Lepisosteus oculatus: one gene and its partner. The protein of the gene in region 2 purifies or fractionates together with the protein of the main gene of each other region. This does not show direct contact. Links are inferred from orthologs where the notes say so. Each region holds a gene or a part of one and is shown on either strand. Other genes may lie near its edges.

Region 1 (10,387 bases), on a different chromosome or scaffold from region 2:
GGAGATGGACAGATTAATTAGAAGTACACATCAAATAAATAATACAACACCTTTTAATAATCACAGGCAGCACTTAAAACGGTATTTTTAGACCTAAAAATAAGTGTAGCAAAACTGGTTCATCTATATTTGACAACACTTATTGACAGACACACACAAACCAAGTTAATATTTATGCTATTTATAAATTAGACTTCCGCGCTGTCATTTTAAAGACAACATTAAAGACATAGTACAGATGGTACAAAACAGCAGTTCCCAGAGTAATACAGAATAAAGGTTAACAGCCTGAAAAAACAAATCTGAAACATATGGTAGTTAGACCTCGAGTCTAGATTAAGAAAACACTCCGTATTAGTCATGCGTCTTTTATATGAATATCAATCAACCAATCACTTAAGTGATTACCGTAACCCGAATGTGTCAAAAGCCGATAAAAAACTGCAAAATAATGCACAACACCATAAGCTTCCCAAAAGCAAACGAAATACTTAGCTATACTGTGTGTTGTTCTGAAAACAATAGCGATATATTACCATGGACCGGAAAAATAACACGATACAGAATAGATCTAAAAACGGTAAATAAAACAGAAAACGACCACCTCACAGAAAAGTCGTCCGCCTTTACAAACTCCCATTTTTAATGTCAAACATTGACATATTACAATGGACACAGACCGCTTCTCCAAAATCTCCACACACAAAAAAAGCTCCTAAAACACGCACAGCTTTAGTAGTAGGAATTACTTTATTATTTTATGAAGCTTTGTTTTCCATCTTACTATAAGGGCGTAAGTGAGGCGGATTGCTCTGTTTACTAGCATATATAGGCATCTCGTTCACTTACTGCTACTCTAATGAACATGTCAACTGAAGGTGCAATCGCGGCTGTTTCTCAAAGAAATACGCAGGTATGCCGTAAACAGCGTTTTCCTCTTTTCATATCCATTCACATACTACAGTTATAAGCTACAGAAAGATAATTATTTGTCATTGCATAACCGTTCCTCTTCAAACGGCTACGCATCTCATACATGCACGAATTTAAGTTGTTCTCGTAATCTATTTACCTGCCTGGAATTAACATTAGGCATAACCCATCTCGAAGTGACCGTACCACAGATTCAGACTGCTACAGTCCCAGTCATGTCTTAATGCGTCAATGCTCCCTAAAATGGAGATAAAAACAAAAAGCTACGTACAGACAGAAAGGAAAAATAGATACAGCACCACTTGCAGTGTAGGAGGACCTTACACAACCAGACACTTTTCAGATTTCTTTTGTGAAGTCTTTACTGTATTTACAGAACAGGCGTGCAGAACACCTTTCTCCTTCTCTCCCTCTCTTTCTCTTTCCTTCCCTCCCTCTACCCAGCTCTCTCGCTCTCTCTGCCTCATGTATTGACAGTTAATACCCGACAGTAAAGCTTCTGTTATGTCGCCCACCTTTGACAGAAAGTACTCGCAAACTGTAAAATACCATTCGCATAGTATTTAACGGTCGCCCACCTGGGGGAGCGTACGATATATGCCTCTCTGGGTGTCTGGCGTTTCTTTGAATTGTGTGAATATCAGTTTGAGTCAGTTTGGAATTGATATAACAAAATCTATAGATTTAAATGCATTTCTAGAGTAATGCAAGTCGACAAACATGTTTCATTGCAAAGTGTTATCTCCAGTATCGTCAAGAAGAGGATGATTGTTTGCTATCGTATAAATGGATATACCTATTTTCTGATTTCTCTCGCCGGCGATTTCTGCAACAAATCTCCATCATATTTCTCCAGCAAATAAATATGAAAATGAAAGGACTATTTATATCGCTATTTTCGGATATCAAAAGTCTTTTACTCAACCCCAGGACACACCTTTTATGATGTACCTTACCGATTACCCCTCAAATGTATAAATGTTTTGTACAGCAATGTGTCCATGCACAAACGAGCACATGACATACAACAGGCCTTTTTTACGTACACTTTAAACTATTTCACCAGCACATTTCACCTTTGTACAAATGTAACCACATAGTTTTCCCCCTTTTGCTTCCCTTTTAGTTTTCGTCCTAGGGTTATGTGACAACTTCTGAAATAAGAACATTTCGTCTTCATAAATGGCAATCATTTTACTTCCACAATCGTTTCTAAAACCCTACGAATGTTTCAAAATGATCATTGGTATCTGTTGGATACCATTAAGATTAGGCAATTTAACTCTTAGAATAAGGTGCTGCAGCTGAGACAGTAAACAACATCAGAGCTGGTCAAGAGAATTACACGGCACTGACTACAGCTCCCAGAGTTCTTTGCAGATGTAACCCGAGCTCTAATCGGATCAATCCTGTCAAGATCTATTAGAATCGGATTGGGTATTTATGTCTATATTTGCCTAAAACTGTGACTCTCCTTTAGTTCTACGGGATAGCTGTTTTTCGTCTACAAGACTAAAAATCTCATGCCGTGATAAGTAGAAAAATCTGAATGTTAGGTAGTGGTGGCAAGTCATTAGCTCCAGCCTTGTGACTGCTCGTAGTAGTTTCCCTAAGTAATTTAAAACGTTTCGGTACGTTGCATTTAGATATTTTTTTCCTTTTTTGTTTGTGGTGCAGCATGTCATACTCCGGGGTTGTAAAACTGAGGACTGCGGAAGCCAAACCGAAATTACCGACGGTTTGTTGCGCTTCCAAAAGAAACAGAGCCACTGGCTGTACCGGAGGTAACCATAGCAACGCCCGTGACCCCAGCGGAGGTGCTAGTTATGAGACCCCAAATGGGAGAAAAACAAAACCGAACGCAGTAACATCAAAGCCTAAAGCTATAACGTGCAGTGGGAACGATCAGCGTGCTCAGAAAAAACACGACAAGTCTCCAAGTGCCACACAAAGGTAAATAATTGTTTATCCTACTCTTCTTTTAACCCCCAAGTCGCGTCGTTAGTTTGTAAAAGAGGTCCTTCTCCGTAATAAAAACAAACAGGTATTCCTAACAGAGATCTGAACTGTGTGTACCGATCAGTTTAATGTGTCGTTTAAAAATAGTATCATTGATATAGTTCTGAGCATAATTATCCAATTGATCCCTATGTGTTTCAATGCTAGTAGGTGTGACAGAAAATATTCCCCTCTAGATTCTGCTTACCACCAAAGATCTAATTCTAAGAGATGATTTTTGTTTGGTTTGTTGCAGTTACGGGGCATTTACAATGATCCCTCCCAATCCAAAGAAGAGGGATGAACTACAGAAAAGTACATTTTATTTCTTTTTCTTGGAGCAACATGCAGAAAAAAACAAGAACACTGTCAGTTATTTGATAAATAGGAGACAAACATCCACACATTCAACATAAAAAGAAAAAAATATTTGTTAATATCTTATTCTTATTCTTTTTTTTTAAAAAAAATGTCTAAACATCTGATACTGGGGATCCTGAACAGACTAAATGACTTAGACATTTTTCTCACCATTTCTTTATGATGGCTGACAAAGGAGCTGAAGTTGAACTGGCAGCGCTGGAAAATTTCAAACTTAATAAGAAAGTGCGCCATGTGTCCTTTGTCCCAAGTGCTGTAGGTGAGTACTCTCTGAATCCGGTCACAAGCAGCTGAAATGTATGTCTTCATTGTATTTAATATTATTATTATTATTATTAATAATAATAATAATAATAATAATAATAATAATAATAATAATCTCCCTTCTGGACCAATTTCCAAACCTGGAGTGACCAGAGGAGCTTTTCTGTTGGAGGTGATGTCCTTTGTATGAGAAGCTAAATCAGGGTCCAGATTTGTTGGTCATTTAAGATTCCATTTCTCTTTTCAAAGGGGTAGAGTGTTAATCCCAGTGACTGGATTGTGCAATCTGAGTTTCCTGAAGATGCCCCTTTTAATTCAGCTTCAGAGGAGGATTAAGTAGGCCCCTTCTCTGTGTAAATCAGTCACACGTGCTATATAAGGCAATTTGGGTGAGACAGTGTTAACATATTCAGTACATCTCATATTAGTAATAACAATAGCTATATAATCTGCAGTGTTGCAATTGACCACTACAGGGCGTAGTAGAGCACATTATTCTCAGAACCCGACCGAGGTCTTGTCTTAAACTAAAGAGTTTCTTGTAAAAGAAAATAAGATCCTCTAGTAACATCATATTTGTTATTTTTACTGTATTTAGCTTGGATGAAAATAGGGTTTCCTTCTTCCATGTTTAAGGGTCCTCAGTGGTCCTAAAGAAAGTTTTATGGCACAGTAGTCGTGCTTTGTTTTGCTTTGATTCTAATTGTTCTAATGAAGAAATATAATTATTTCCATATTGTGTAAATATTTTGCAGGGGGAACTTTAACATTGGAAGAAGTAAGAAGAAAACAGGAGGAGCAGATGAAAACATGCAAAAAGCTTCACCATCTGAGACCTGAGACTAGAAATTAGAAAATACATCGTGCACTGTTTTGGCATAATCTTTGATTCGGTATCATTGCAAATTAGGGGGATCACCCAGAAACGATCGGTTTTTCACTGTTATATTGAGGCATAGGAGAAAACGTATTAGTTACCACGAGTAAATGTAGTGATGAATGAAAATCAAGAAGAAACATGTTTTATTAATATATAACCATTGCTAACCTGGGGATTATCTTGAATACACCGTATATTGATGTTTGTATTATCACATACATTACATATTTTAACACATATAAACATTCATCATCTTTAAAATTGGTTCACGGTGTACATGTTTTCCATTTTTTTCTTCCGTAATTCCAGTTTGCTGAACTTTATCGGTTAATAAAAAATATTATCACTACTTTTAACATATTACTGTACCTACTGTATGTTTGAAGTTACTCGTGTTTTTAAGAATTTTGTGAAACGGCAGCTCTGGTGCTGTAGCCACCACATGCGAAAACCATTTAGTTGAACACGTTATTGTCATTTAATGCTAATTAAATAATCTTTTTTTGTCCCGCAATGGATAATAAACCGTGGATTGTGGTTAAACAAGTTGTACCGGATGGGATATATTTCTGAAAATCAGATATACGAAATAAAAATGCTGCTGAAACTGAAGCTTAAACGAAAATGGGGAGTATTTAAAAATCACAGTGGTTATTTTCTCTGGTTTGTAGTTATGACATTTACCGAACGTTTCTGCAAACAGATCGGGATGTTATTGACAAGAGAATGGCGGTGCCATCCATAATACACGAGCAACAAATAGCCATATATATTAATGAGGACCCCGACAGAAAGCGGTTGCGGTGAAAATGTTCGACCTCATATGATCCATAAAAATGTGATCCCTGAAATAACAAATGAGCTTCCTTATGTAAAAAACTACATTTCCCATGAGCGACGGCTGGTATTTGTCTCTGCGACATGGCAAGGAAATGTTTTGGTTCTGGGTCTTTCATCCTTGAAAATGATCAAGCAATAAAACTGTCTGTTGTGTAATTTGTTGCAGCACGAAAAAATAAGTTAGTTAAACCATTCTAATGCAGTATAAAATAAACCGATTTTTATATAGCCGCGGAGTGTTCAGTTTTTATTTCTTTTGTTATTGTTTGATCAACTAAGCTCCACCTACGTTTGGCATGGTATAATCGGAATGCCGGCTAGCACGTCCATTTTTCTTAGTAGGGGTGAACCGTAAAAAGCGTAACTATATATTTGCATTCTGTGTACTCCTGAAATAGGAGATGCCTGAACTATGAAATATTTTCGTTTGTAGTTGATCATTTTTGTGTTCATTTTATCCCTTCATTCGCGTGAAGGGTGTCCCCCCTCCCCCCCCCCCTACATGCCGAGGTTGGCACGGTCGGTTGCGAGGCCTCTGCAGTAGGGAGTGTTTTTAGAGGAAGACCACGAAAGTTGATACTCGTTAACGGGGAAATGTTTTAAGTTTGATGTCATTTTACTACAACTTTGCACGCGAAGACCGAGGAGAGGCATTGAAATCGATTTCGAGACGTGGTTTGTTCAGTGAAAGCGGGGGTCCAGGTACCGGAGCTTATGATGCCTACGTTGCGGGACAGTACTATGTCCCACCCAGGAGAGAATCCTAACCAAGTGCGGGTGAAAGCCTATTATAAGGGGTGAGTGGAAATCAGTATATTGGCTGGATCGGTCCGGATTAGGGTGGCTGTTTTGAAATTTGTACTGAAAAGAAACGAGGAGTGTTTTACTTGAGGAATGGTTTTAGCCACACGGTGTGCGACCTAGCAGGTGAAATCTTCTTGGATCGGATAACTACCATTCTTGTTTGTAACCTATGTTTGGAGGTGACGGACGTCACCGGAGACCTAACTTGATAGGGAGGGCATTCATGTTTTAAAGATATGGCAGATCAGAAACCTTTTTTTAGTTTTCTCCCACAGACCAAACTTGGTAGAGTTCTGGTTTAAGGAATGCGATCCCAGGGCTACGATCGTGAACTCTTTTCAGAGCTTTATTGTTTAAATTCGTTGGGTATGGTATCCTTCATTCGCCATTAATAATATTAAAGTCAAGTCGCAACAAGCCTCGTTTTTACACCTACGATGTTCTTAACTATGCTGTGTGATTAACCGATGAGTACACATCGAGGAATGGTCACAATGGTACCGATGCGCTGTTCTTTTCATTCAGAATTTGAAGCCGTTTCGTGTAAGGAAAACAATTGAAATCAGGGCATTTTCAGGACACGATTTTTCATCTTAGCCACTGGCTTTGGACGGGACTCGTGTTTTAAGGCTAACAGAATGCCACCTACTCAATAATGCGTAATGTAGGTGTTGGTGTCGCATGTTGATGACCACTGACGGAGCTGCCGTAGAGTGAAGCTGCGCGGAGCCCGAGACCCGCACGGACAGGTTGTGCGGCTGCGGTAGTAGCAGTAACCTTTTACGCCTTGGCACACCTTGTTTCTCTTGCAGCTTAAAAAAAAAAACATCTTAAGTATCAAGGGAGATCTTTGCACACTAGCTCGGTGAACTGTGTCTCAAGTGAGAGCCGGGGATGTCTAGCGCCGTAGTAAAGACGTGTGGATGGAGTTGTCTGTTTTTGCTTTTTGTTTAGTGAGATTTGTGCGGAGAGGTGGCAGCCCTGGCACAGTGGAGTCCTGTAGCAATTCCTGTTTGTAAACTGAGGTTATTCTAATGAAGGCAGTAAGAGAAAGGATTAATTGCATTTGTATATATTGCTTTTCACCCCAGAGGTGCCCAGAGCACTTTATATATAGCAGAGAATACACTTCCATCATTGAAGTGCAATGACGTCTGATTATTTTCAAGCGATTAGGACCGAAAAATAGAGTTTTCGAGCATGTAGTTATAGAATGTGAAGAATTTTGTTGATGTCATACCGTATGAAGAGGTTTGTTCCGTTTCAGGTGTCATCCTCCTGAGCCACAGGTATTCTGTTACTCTCACAGAAAACACAGTCTGAATAATTGCTCTTTGCCATTTTTGATTTTTTGTTTAGATTTCTGTCTTTGACTCATCTAATGAGATACTGTAACCTGTTAAGATCTATCTGTGCTTCTAAACGGTTTGCTAATTTGAGGTTTGCGTAAGTCAGTTGAGTTGTAAGATGGAAAGCTTTATGTGGAAGTTGTACTTTACCTTACATTTTGGAAGGCGCTAACAATGGTGTGCTGAATCATGAAAAACCTGTCAGATGAGTTTCTTCTGACCTTTCGCAATCCCAATCACTGTCACTGCATGTGTGCTGTTGTACATTTCTGACATTTCAGAAGTGTTTCTTTTCAAATAAAGAATGCAGAGTATTTCTGAAATATTTACAGGACCATATCTGCTTATGAAATGCTAACAGTAAAAAAAGAAGCCCCTTTGTATACATGTCTGCATGAATTTCTGAATTCATAAAAATTGCCAAAAAATGTCTTGTTCTTGTGCATAAACAGAACATTTTGAAATAAACTGATGCTTGGTGAAAGCACACTGTAGGACAGCTCTGTATTCACCTGAGGTCATGAACGTCTGCCTCGGGCCTTTGGGTTTTATCTCAGTCGCTGACCTTGATATTGTCCAGATAGGGAGTGGAGAAAAAGCACATGCCTGCCAAGATAAACAGCACAGAACAAACCGCACTGAAGTGAAGCTTCCAATTGTGCATTTCTGAAAGGAGTAGACTCGCAGTAGCTGACTGACACTTGATTCAAGTATTCTTTTTAATAAAACATCGTATTGTACTGTAGGTGTTGCGTAGTCATATACTGACTTATTATCGTCCTACTCCCCACCTCGCAGTTCTCGTTTGTCTGACCCCACTCTGCTGTCTGTCCTCATACTGGTCTGCGTACAGGGGGTAACAGGGCTTTCTCTTGCAATGGCCCAAAGCTAATTTTTACTTGTCTTAATTCTGTTATCTTCTCCCCTTTTTTTCTTACTGTTAAGCACTTTGAGAAGATGCATTTATAGGAGCTATACCAAATAAAAAATGTTATTATTTTTATTTGATTATTATTGGATAATATCGCACAACATTAATGCATAGCCATGATTTACGGTTATTCACAAACATGTAAACCGCGTTTACGAAAAGGATTTTATTGCCTCTGACATTCCGATCTTTCAGACCTCAGCGGTGGCACTGTTTTGACCCCATGACTGCTGCAGCTTAAATGAAGTTGATTTCTTTTAAAAAACGTATTTAGTTGGGTTATAGAATAACTCTCAACTATACTCTAAGAGAAGCATGGAGGCGAAGGCTTCTGAAGGCATCAGAGCTGGACTGAAGCGTCAGAATAGATGTTTTTAGATTAATAGCCTTCTGTAATGTGGGTGAATGCAGGACACATGTTCACTTTTAAGAATAAAGCCTGCATTTCCATCCATACACCCAGCAGGAGAAATCTAAAATACCCTGAGGAGTGGGAGAATGGCAAGACTCACTTTGTCGTAAGCTTCACTGAGGGAAAGGTGTGACCCATTGAGCTCGTTATGCAGTAGTGACCACACCTAACACATCCTTTAGCAGCAGATCGAAATACTTAGTCACAAAATATTTGAAGGCATATAAAATTACAAAGAATATACTAAATTCATCTCGATCTATAATATCTGTAATAGGAAAACCACTTTCTCCAGCTAAGATGAAACACACTATGCAGTACACATAATGTCCCACTCTTATGCTGTCGAGTGGGAGGTATGGTAAAAAAAAAAACATTTGTTTTGTTGAACAATTTGTAGCTCTGTTGCATCAGCCCCAAAACCAGCACTGAAGATGTTTTCAAAGCAGTTTAAGAGAGAAACAAAATTAAGCAGTTGTTTATTCCCTATGAAAAACAGCTGCCACAACTAGGAGACCTTAAGGTTTTCCTGCGATTTTCCTGCACTATAAAAAATTACACAGTTGGACATGAAACAGAACTTAATAAAAAAAAATTAATGAAGCATTATGAAAAACTGCATGTTTCATCTACCCCAGTATTGGCAGATTAACATTGAATTCATTTAACCGGTGTATTTTGTTCTTGTTGTCTTTACCAATAAGATCTGTAGTATTTGGCATTATGGCAACTTTACACAAGAATGGACAAAAGATCTGTTTAATGTTAAGCATGGAAGAGTTAGCTTTTAGTCAGGCCTTTGAGCTACAGAAATGCAGGACCTGACCTGGGACATGAAGTGCAATTGCAGAGATGGAGGTGTATCTCCTTGATAAACGTTAGTAGACTATAGTAAGACTACAGTAATGTGTGTGAAATCTGTCTACAGAATTATTACTTTTTATTTCATGACATAAGGAACTAGTAAGCAAATGAAGTTTTATTCATTTTAGTAAACCTTTTCAATCTCCTTATTTCAATTCCTCCTTTGATTGATCATATTCAGTCCTGGTATCTATACATCTATATTTCCTGAAGATAGTTTGAAACTGACTTTCAGTGTATTGCTATAAAAACGTGACCCTTAATAGTTTAAGTGTAGATTGCTGATGGTGGGTGCCTTCAGCAGATATTCCTTTGAGCACCACTGGGCTTGAGAGAGTTCATGAGGTCATCTGTGCTTTCACAGACACTGTAAACAATATTTGGTCGATGTGTTTTCAGTAAGAGAATTGTTTTGACAACAGCAGTTAAAAAGGACTTTGCAGACCTAGGGTCAGAGGTTGTTCTGGATGTTGTAGTACTAGCAAATTGAGAATGGGAAAACTCTTCCTGCACGTGAGACTAGCAGCCCATTGCCGAGCGACCCTCTGAGCAGTGCTGTAGAGGTGCACTGGCTGGGGTATCTGGGCTTAACTGCTTTGCTCAGGAATGCAAGACGGGTATCTGCATTGGGCTCTAATGAGTTACCACTGTGTTACCACAACCTAGCCCTGCTGCAATCGCATATGTTGAAACAAAATCCAGAAAATCTTCGTCTTTGATATTTTTCCCCC
Region 2 (9,753 bases):
GTAAATAAAAAAACGTATTTGACATCTCCTTCCTCTAATTGAAAATCTCTCAATGTAAGCACTGTCAATAGATTATCCCAATAACTCTGGCAGTGAATCTCTGATTAAAATAAAAGTCAATTTTAGTTCTTAGATATGTGAACTTATGATTGAATGTTCAGGTTCACAACTTAACCCTGAACACATTGTGTTCCTATCTTTAATAGTAAAATGTATGAATCAAGTACTTGGTGAAACAGAAATTTGAATTGTGTTTGCACATGGAAGTACATAAAATCTACTATAACAGTCAAGTCCAATAATTTTGCAGCATTGTGATATAATTGGATGCTGCTTATAGTGTAGTTTCCTTGCACTGTTTTTCATGCTTTTTAATTTTGTGTATTTATAAAATATAGCTACTTTGATGCAAGACAAAGTTCAGAGAAATCAGACAAAGTACTATGATTTAATTAACTCAAAAGCACAAAAGGTTTTTTAGACAGGAAGGCTTGGTGAATTCTATAACCATATTACAATTTTTAGTTTAAAAAGTCACACAACTACATGAATGGCCTATTCAGTAATAATCGTAGTCCATATAATTTAACAATAAATATTACTGTCTCTATAAGGACCTGCATTCAGGTAGTGCATCTGAGGCAAAGATTCAACTATCAAGCCTAAGTAGCTTTCAAAACAACTACAGATCAGAAGAAGGATATAAAAACACTGGAAAAACTCTTAATATCTCTTTGAGCACGGTGAAGTCATTCATTAAGAAGTGACAAATACACAGTACTCTGCCCCAGGCTTCCTGTCCAAACTGAGTCAAACAACAGCACCTTTGAAAGAGCTACAGAGTTCAATGACTGAGACAGCAGAAAATGTCAATGTGTCAACAACCTCCTAGTCACTCCACAAAGCTGGTCTTTAGGGCAAAGTGGCAACCCATCTCAAGTCATGGGGTGTACAACAAAGTGTTTAAGTAATATTGCAAACACGAGGCAAAAGGTTTTGTGGTCGGACAAGGTAAAATATAGGCTCTTTGTTCTAAATGCAAAAGCTCTACACATGGCATGAATCCAGCACAGGATGTCACCCAGTCAGCACCGTTTCTACTGTAAGGCATGGTGGTGGCAGCATTATGATATGGGGGGGCTGTTTCTCATCAGTAGGGCCTGGGAACCTGTCAAGATTTTGTTTTTGCGGGTTTTATTGACAAAACGTCTTTCACTCATAGACAAGTTCAGTAGGTGAATACTTCAGCATGGCACAGTATGTGGCTGGAACTTGCATCGGAGACTCAAGTTCTTGAGTTATGAAATGTGATGTAACCAACACAACCCAGTGCTCTGCAAATTTCCCTCAGTGCCTTCCTACTCGTTTGTTTTCTTTGGCGGTGCATATTGAAAAGGCAATGCTTCAAGCATCTCTTTCCCTGGAAACCTGATTCTAAATGCTTTAATGAAAATCCCCGCCATTAAAGCTAAAACGAGAAAGAATCAACAATGTCCAAATTCAAATACTTGAAAAAAATGTATTGCCACCTTTCTTAACCAAGGAGATTGATTCTGTATTACTGCAGCATGGATGTCCAAGTGTTGTTAGGAGATGGAAAAGTATGTTTCTATAGTCACCTCCCTTCATTACCTCAAGGTTTTGTGACAAAAACCTTTATTACTTAAATACACACATTTCTCCTTCTGACATAACTACTGTATTTTAAACTGATATAAATGATCAAACACTTCAGTACTCTAATAGGAAGGTGTCGCTTTACAGGAGACAGAAATGTTTAAACAACTGGCAAATGAAATTCAGAACTGCAACAGGCTTTCCTAATCCTAAAGACAGGTAAAAGCTTCCATTCATGAGGTTCAAACAGGGTAAAATTGTTTGAAACCTCTTTGAAATTAATCGGCTTGAATTTCTTTACGGCTATTTTACAAGCTCCCAACCCTCTGAAATGTTTCAATAATAATGTTGCGAGGGTGTACAGTAACTGAAACCGCTTTGTAGCTGTGATAGGGCAGTTACTCCGATACTCGAAAGTACTTTTAAACAGTAACTAGACTTCAGTCTCTGCCTCTTGAAGCTTATAACCACTAGCAGTTTAAGTGCTGCTTTTTTCTTGTTAGCTAAAACAAATATCATGAATTGTTTACAACGGATCTGTTAACTTCCTAAAGAAAATGACTCGCTATATTAAAAAAGACCTACTTTGTAAAATATTCTTCACAGAAAAACAAACGCTCCAAATGATGCTCTGTGGTTAAACACTGTTCTGAATGGGTATTGTAAAGTAGAAGATACTGCTAGAAAACAAGTGCACTTTCAAAATGTTACTCTTCACTTTACATACCAGAATTGTCTGAAAAAATTATATCATTCAGCAGGGTGATGTTTTATCATATTTGGATGTACTACAACAAGGAAGATACCGGTATTAAGAATTTGCTACACAACTAAGCGATATAATATGAAGTAGTGCTTTGGAAATCCATGTGTGTGTGACATAAACCAAACTGTAGGTATTTAGCCGATAGCCGACTGCTACTTGTAATAACTTCCCCATGAAACTCATTGCTGTCCCGATGTTATGTCGCCAGAAACAGCACACTGGAGTGTTACGTGATCGCACCAGTAGACATATTTTAAAAAAAACTAAAATAAGGAATTCAGAACAAATCACTGCTACTTATTCCCCCCTCTGCAACCTTACAAACCTGGGCGAACAATGATAAATGGCAGGGTTTTGGAGTCGCAATTCAGTGTCTGTGTAACTCAGTATTCCTGGAATACTAACCAGTGTCTTTACAGATGCAGTTTCCCTCCCTATCCTCCAGGGCCTGGTGTATTCAGGAAGCCTGGGGCTGGATTTGAAGCTTTTTAGCTTGTTTTGTTTTTATCTATTCCACATGAAGTATTCCCAACTTAAACCATAAAAATAGTGTGAGCATTAAAACGTATTTATTTCTGCGCATTTCGTTTTCAAAACATATGTGCAAATACACGCACCCTTTGATTTCGGCTGGTCCCTAACCAATCTACCTCCACTGTAAACTGCGCTTGAACAAAGCGATAAATAAGCTCACTGCATTTAAAAATATATTGACCATGAATAAAGTACTCGCGGTCGTATTAGGAAACTGATTTTTGCCAAATAAAACCACGTAACCAGCTTAAAGTTTGAAATCTGCAATTTGAAGGTTTACCAGTAATAGACAACGTTCAAACATGGCTTTTAAAAAGTATTAAATTAACGGTAGCTTTCAGAAAAATCTAAATCGTTGCTTAAAATACATTTTACCAAACTCGCCAGTGCGCCAATCAAAGAAAAACTGTCCCTTTAAATAACGTTCAAGTAAGGAACTTTTGCGGGTTTACAACAGCCGGGTCCCGCCGCACTTAAAACACAAAAAAAATATACAAAACTGTTAAATCTGACTACTACGCTACAACCCAGACTAACCCTGAAGTCGCTTCTTTCTCAATCAGCGCCCGTCTATCTCTACAAATTAATCAATAGACCTTTAGGATTTCCCTTCCTTCTCTTTTTTCTCCCAGAAAAGCGCCATATTGAGCTTGCCGCACCATTCCTTGGGTTACAACATTGTTTCCAATGGGGAATTTTTTAAAGCACCAAAGCACAATACGAAGTAAAGAAAACTTACCTTCGCAATAGCTTTTTTGTATCTCATCACGGCTTGTTGAATAAGGCTGTGAACTTTAATATTTCCATCGCCACACGGAACCACCACCCTGGTCCTTCCAAAACACACTGTCACTTTCATAGTTACCGATATTTTCCACAAATCCCAAATCCAGAAGAAAAATAAAGGTGTAGTTTTCGTATGTAAAACCCTCCTTGGGACGTATTTCCTTTGGACTTGCAAAAAGTAGATCCAAAAGAGAGAGAAACGCGAAGCTTTTCACCTTTTCTCCATGGTCGCTTTTTTAAGATGTGTGTTTCTGACCACCTGTTTAATGTTTCTGCGATCCTACTCTGATGTGCTGGCTAAACTGAAGCAGAAAAGAACTGAACTGGGAAACCATCTCCCCACCCTGGTCACTGCGAGTATTGAAGCTCTTGAAACTTCACAAGCAACCTCATTTCACATACTGTATACTGTAAGTCTCGGGAGTGTCGTTGCCCCCTCCTCTTTAATAAAGATGATAGGTAAAATATGTTATCAGTTTATACACAAGTACAGAACTCAAGTGGCTTATAAACTATATTTGCTCTTAAAACTGTGATTACTATGCTAAGCATCCCTTTAAAACTGTTGATATATCACTCCAAATGAGTTAATCAGCTAACACGAAAATGCAATCTTTTTGTACACTTAATGCCGATTATTATTTGGATTTAACTAATCTAATTTCTTAATTTATGTATATGTAACTAAAACTTGTTTTGTTTAGCTTTAAACCAACTGAGCAGACATGAACAGAACATTTTTAGTTTTCTGACGTGAACATAGCCCGTTGAATATATCTGCATAAAAGTAATGCAATAAGCCACTAAAGCTGTTACACTGTAGCTTACCGCGAAATATTATCATTTATCAGGACTGCAAAGTCTGCGAGTCGCGTTGGGTTACAATGTACTGTATAACGCTTGAAAACCTAAAAGCTAGCGCAAGGAACTGTTTTTTAACTGTCACAGATGTACATTATTAATTATTATTATTATTATTATTATTATTATTATTATTGAGCGCAGATGTCTTGTTCTACACGGAGCAGCGGTTGGCGTATTAGTATTAACCTATTGGCGACAAACCTGTTCGAGCAGAGGAAATGGTGGACAACTATCAATTTTTTGTTCAGCAAGTTAAAATTAGGTCTCTCTGTGCAACAGCAGACCCACCAACATATAATAAACAGTTTTTTTTTTCAGCACAGGCTTTCAGTCTCAATTTGGTAAAAACATTATATGGAAATGCAATTGATATTCATCAATCTCAATCACGCCAGCGGTTGCATTCCTGGTTTTTGAGGGCCGCTAGTTTCCTTCCACCTGACACTTCACGTGCTTAATTGAGTTAATTAGCGACTACATCACTGGATATGCTTACGAAAGTAGTCATTTTTTAAACAAGTTTTAAACACACAAAAGCTTTCCACAACCTCAGCCCTCGAGGGGCAGTATTGCTCATTACGAATACAAACGTGCAAAACTAATCGATGTCAAAACGCACACACAGCGCCAAACCTACAGTAACTAGCAGCTATTTAACTGTTCATCGTTTTCACGCATAGTCGTTTTTGACCAGACTGAATCCCTGCACCCCTGTGGATTCAGTCTCTGGGGAAATCAATTGGGTAAAAGTATTTACAAAACTTAAATAATATGATTTTTAAAATCTGTTTCTTTGATAAAGCAATCGTAAAGTATATTTAAAAACTCTAGATAACCCAACAGAATTGAAACTGTTTCAATTGGAAGTGCCATGAACGGTGTTATTGAGTCATATAATGTGCTAAAACTATTTCATACTGTCTTTCAGGTGTTGTAGTTATATTTAGTGTGGTTAATAAGCTGTGAAAAGCTTGTGATATATGGATTCTTTGAGATAAACGGTGTAACTCAATGACACAATGGAAGGTACAAATGATATAAGACATTTGATGAAGATGAAGTTGTACATTTAGCTGATCGATCTTCAACTTATTCAACATACCTAATTTTCTAGTCACTGATGCTGCTTCTCCTGCATCCCCTGGTTGAAATACACTCATCTACAGTATGTGTCGCATTAAAATAAGGTAACAAAATTCAGACGAACAGAAGCCTTCACTTTGTCGGCAAAGGTTTTAGCATTTCCACAGGTAAACTAACGTGCAGAAACCACACAGTTGACGAAACTTTTAGAATTAGGCAATATTTTCACCCCATAAAAAATGTAAGAATTTATAGAAATAATAAAATATTAAATAAAATATAACATTTATTTATATTAATACTATAATAAATTAAATGCTTGACTTGATAAATTCAAAATTGAGTTCTCACAGGATGACTGCCAGCATTTCTGGTATTGTTTTTGCCTCCAAGCTGTATGCACAAGAGTACAATTGCAGTTATTTTTCTTATTGGATTTGTACATGCATTTTGCTATTTAAATTCTGTCTTAAGGTCCAATTCCACGTTGCAACCTTATTGGAGTATTTCTTTTTTATATTCTGCCTTTTCCACAATGGAAAATCAATTTGCTCCTAACTAACATTGTTTTCAGCTAAACTGTGCCAGCAGGAGGAGATGGGCTTTTTTCAATGACGGTGGATGTCACTTTAATTCAAATCTGAATATCTGTGCTCGTCAGCATTAAAGCAGAACACATTTTAAACATTTCCTCGTTTAAGACTACGCAACAAAAAAATCCCTTTTCAACCTATCAAGTACATATTGTACTTAAGTGTCCTTCAAGTATTTATTGCCACACTGTTCTTTGCAATCTATCTTCAAGGGCACTGGAAAATAAGAACGATGACCAAAACTTCACGTTATCAAGACATGATAGAAATGCTTTATAAAGTTGAACATTGTGCTTCCTTTAGCTTCTTTTGTTCAGTCCCATCGCACAGTGGATCTATTAGAGAAGTGACAAATTCCTCCATCAGCATTACTTCAATAGGAGGTTCATTCACGTTTGATGAGATTGTCCTAGCCCAGAGTGGGATTTAGCCAGGACACCGGGATTAACGGTTTTACTCTTTCAAAAAGTGGTAGGGGATCTTCAGTGACCGACCATGTAATCAGGGCCTTGATTTCACATCTTGTCTGAAGCATAGCACCTGCTACTATGTTGTGGTTGTGACCCCAGTCAAAATACTGCATTGGTTTGGAAATTCAGGTCCAGAGAAAGAGTGTTACCTACTTGTCTGTCGGCACCATTTGGATCTCCTTTGAGGCCTCCCATTCCAGCTGTTCTTGGCTCAGGCTACAAAGTGGTATTGCTTCTGTCAGGATCCCAAAGTGCCTTACACCGACCCATTTAATCTACTAACTAAAGTGCAGCATGCACCTAGGTGACATGTAGCCGTATTATGCATCAGAAGCCCCAGTCACAGGTGTAGAAGGGAGAAATTACCAGTTGAATAAAGGTGGAATTGTGGACAGACCAGAGTGGAATTGTACGCAGGACAGTGAGGTTCTAACACCTGTTCGTATGAGCTTCAGTCTCACCTGAAGGGCAGCATCTCCCACAACACAGTGATCCCCATTCTGGAGCACTGGTTTGGAACATGTGGACCAGAGGGGAGAGTGCCACCTAGTGGTTCTCCGGCACCACTTCCAGTAGCAAGCTGGTTTTTTCTTTGAGGTCTCCTATCCCAATACAGACCAGGCCCAGTCTTGCTTAGGTAATGAGATCTCACAAGATCAGGCTAGAAGCTGGCAATGCTGCCCAAGAGTAAAATTACCTCCATAAAATACATTCACATCCTTAATTATTTAAAGCTGTAACAGAGCAATGTAAAGAGATTCTGGTTTTATCATAGTGAACACAGTTTCAATATACCGTATTATAAAATAAATTTGATAACATTAGGCAAAATGAAGTAATTATTGCTGAGAAACCAAAGTGTAACATTCTCCATAATTATAGTATACTGTAGCTTTAATAGTTCCTCTCCCTGGAGTGATTTAGGACCAGACAGCAAGTTACTGAACCACATAAATAACATCTGGAATCAGAATTTGTATGCTATCATGTGACAGGGAACCTTCCAAATGGCTTAAAATTATCAGGTATAATCATATAGAGAGATGCACTCAGAATTCACAAGAAAAAAAATAAAATCATTGACAGTTGTTAGCTGTGCATGAGGTTCTCTGAATGGAGTTGTAATAGAGAGGTAGAAAGGGTGATTTGGGCACTGGGACAAGTGGGAATAAACAGTAGAAATACTGCATTGATGTGTTAATTGGCACTAATAGTTAACCAGCGGTTGCAAATTACTACCTGAAATGAATCTTTTTGCACTTATTGCACATGCGTACCACCCATACACTCAAAAAAAGTATTTTTCAAACTCAGCAGCTGAGATTTTATGTCACTAGCTAACTGAGCACATACTGTACCATACATAACATTACTCACACTTTAAACAGAGATCAGGTTTGCTGATTGTTTGAGTGGTACCGTTCTTATGCAAAACTAAATCATGTCAAGCAATTCCATAATAACACTAGGGGCAAAGTGTTTAGCATTTGAGTTTGAATTCCCCAAATTTATGAAAGACCTGCATAAACAGACATTCATTTAATTGATGGTAAAACCATGAAAGATACGATTATGTCCTGTTTGAATAATGAAGATCACCTGGTTGCTATTGATCTGCTTGAAGATGACCTATCTGCGAGAGACGTTTTCAAGAGAAAGAGATGCTCCACTTCAACAATCAGCAGACTCCCTCAGAGATACCAGGAGGCCAGGGAACCAGCTCTGTGGGCCAGGCCAAGTCCAGGAAGGTCAGAACACTAGTCCAAGACTGCAGGAACTGCAGAAAATCTTGACTAATTAGTCATCAGTATATTGGATTATCAAAGGTGTTGCTCTCTTGATAAGTGGGGCATATTAGTTTTTTTCTGGTTTTCTTATTGTTCACAAGGCTTGACATTCAACGGATAATTCACATCATCTCCTGGGGCCAGTCAATTCTCATTAATGAGGTTTATGTAGTTTTTATGTAATAGTCAGAGACAAGTGATGGCATCACTGTTAGAAATGAATGATCAGTTAATGAAAAGGCTGTCAAACACATTTCATCACTATCCCAAACTGACATAATTTATTATCTAAGAACATAGATGCATTAATATAAGAAGTTGCTTCTGATGTCTGGGATATGCCAAAAAGATTCTAGTATTATCAAAAACACAATTCAACTTTGTCAGACCTTATGGATATGATGAAAAGTTGATATTGTACTGCCTACAATCTTACCCCTCACAACAGAAATCAAACTTGTCCCCAACACACATTAAGGACGTGCATAACCCTTTGTGTACAAATCTTCCCCTGGCTGTTAGTTGTAAATATTTCCCCCCAGTTTCAACCTGTGCCTTGTGGTTTGTATTTCACAGATGGATCTGTAGTCCAAAAGGCTGACTTTGTCAGGGCCTTTGAAGACTATGGCCAGGGATTTGAACTTGCCTCTACTTGGCCCTATACCAAATGGTTGCATGTCACACATATTTACTTCAAACAACTGACTACTGGCTGGATCAATTAATGGTAACTGAACCTTGAAACTGTCGCAATGGCAAGGGAATTCAGAACAAAATTAACAAATGCTTACAGTTAAAAAAAAGCTGAGGTAAAAGGAATCCACACTTTCTAAGACAAAATAATTGTGAATCATTGCTTAAGATTCTTCTAATATAGCTCGTATTTGTTTTGGACACGTACAGTATATAGTCATCGGACTTAAAACGCAAAGAATGTTAGTACTAGATTCACTGACAGCTTCCTAGGGTTTATTTGAAGTTTTAAGGGTTCAGAGCTCATATTTACTCTTTATTTTACTTGCCAGTAGCCATATCACTCTGCAACTCACAACTGGCAACCCACTGAAGCTCAGCAGGTGTGAGCCTGGTCCGTACCTGGATGGGAGACCTCCTGGGAAAAACTGAGGTTGCTGAGAGAAGAGGTGTTAGTGGGACCAGCAGGTCCATGTGGGTCCTAATGCCCCAGTATCATGACGGAGACACTAGACTGTAAAAAGGCATCGTCCTTCAGATGAGACATAAAACCGAGAGGC

Evidence for each region. Proteins that work in one complex are often made in the same cells at the same time.
Region 1: the proteins of pard3aa (region 2) and prkci purify together in Homo sapiens (affinity purification with western blotting; 5 studies listed by BioGRID and IntAct, with this or other methods). This does not show direct contact. The link is inferred for Lepisosteus oculatus from reciprocal best matches to the Homo sapiens genes PARD3 and PRKCI.

Annotation. Positions count from the first base shown.
Region 1 is NC_090708.1:13,869,240-13,879,626, reverse strand, and holds the start of prkci (protein kinase C iota type), read left to right. Parts: upstream 1-5,672; 5' UTR 5,673-6,010; coding exon 6,011-6,093; intron 6,094-10,387.
Region 2 is NC_090701.1:38,415,958-38,425,710, reverse strand, and holds the start of pard3aa (partitioning defective 3 homolog), read right to left. Parts: upstream 4,027-9,753; 5' UTR 3,777-4,026; coding exon 3,657-3,776; intron 1-3,656. UniProt on the Homo sapiens protein: Adapter protein involved in asymmetrical cell division and cell polarization processes. Seems to play a central role in the formation of epithelial tight junctions. Targets the phosphatase PTEN to cell junctions.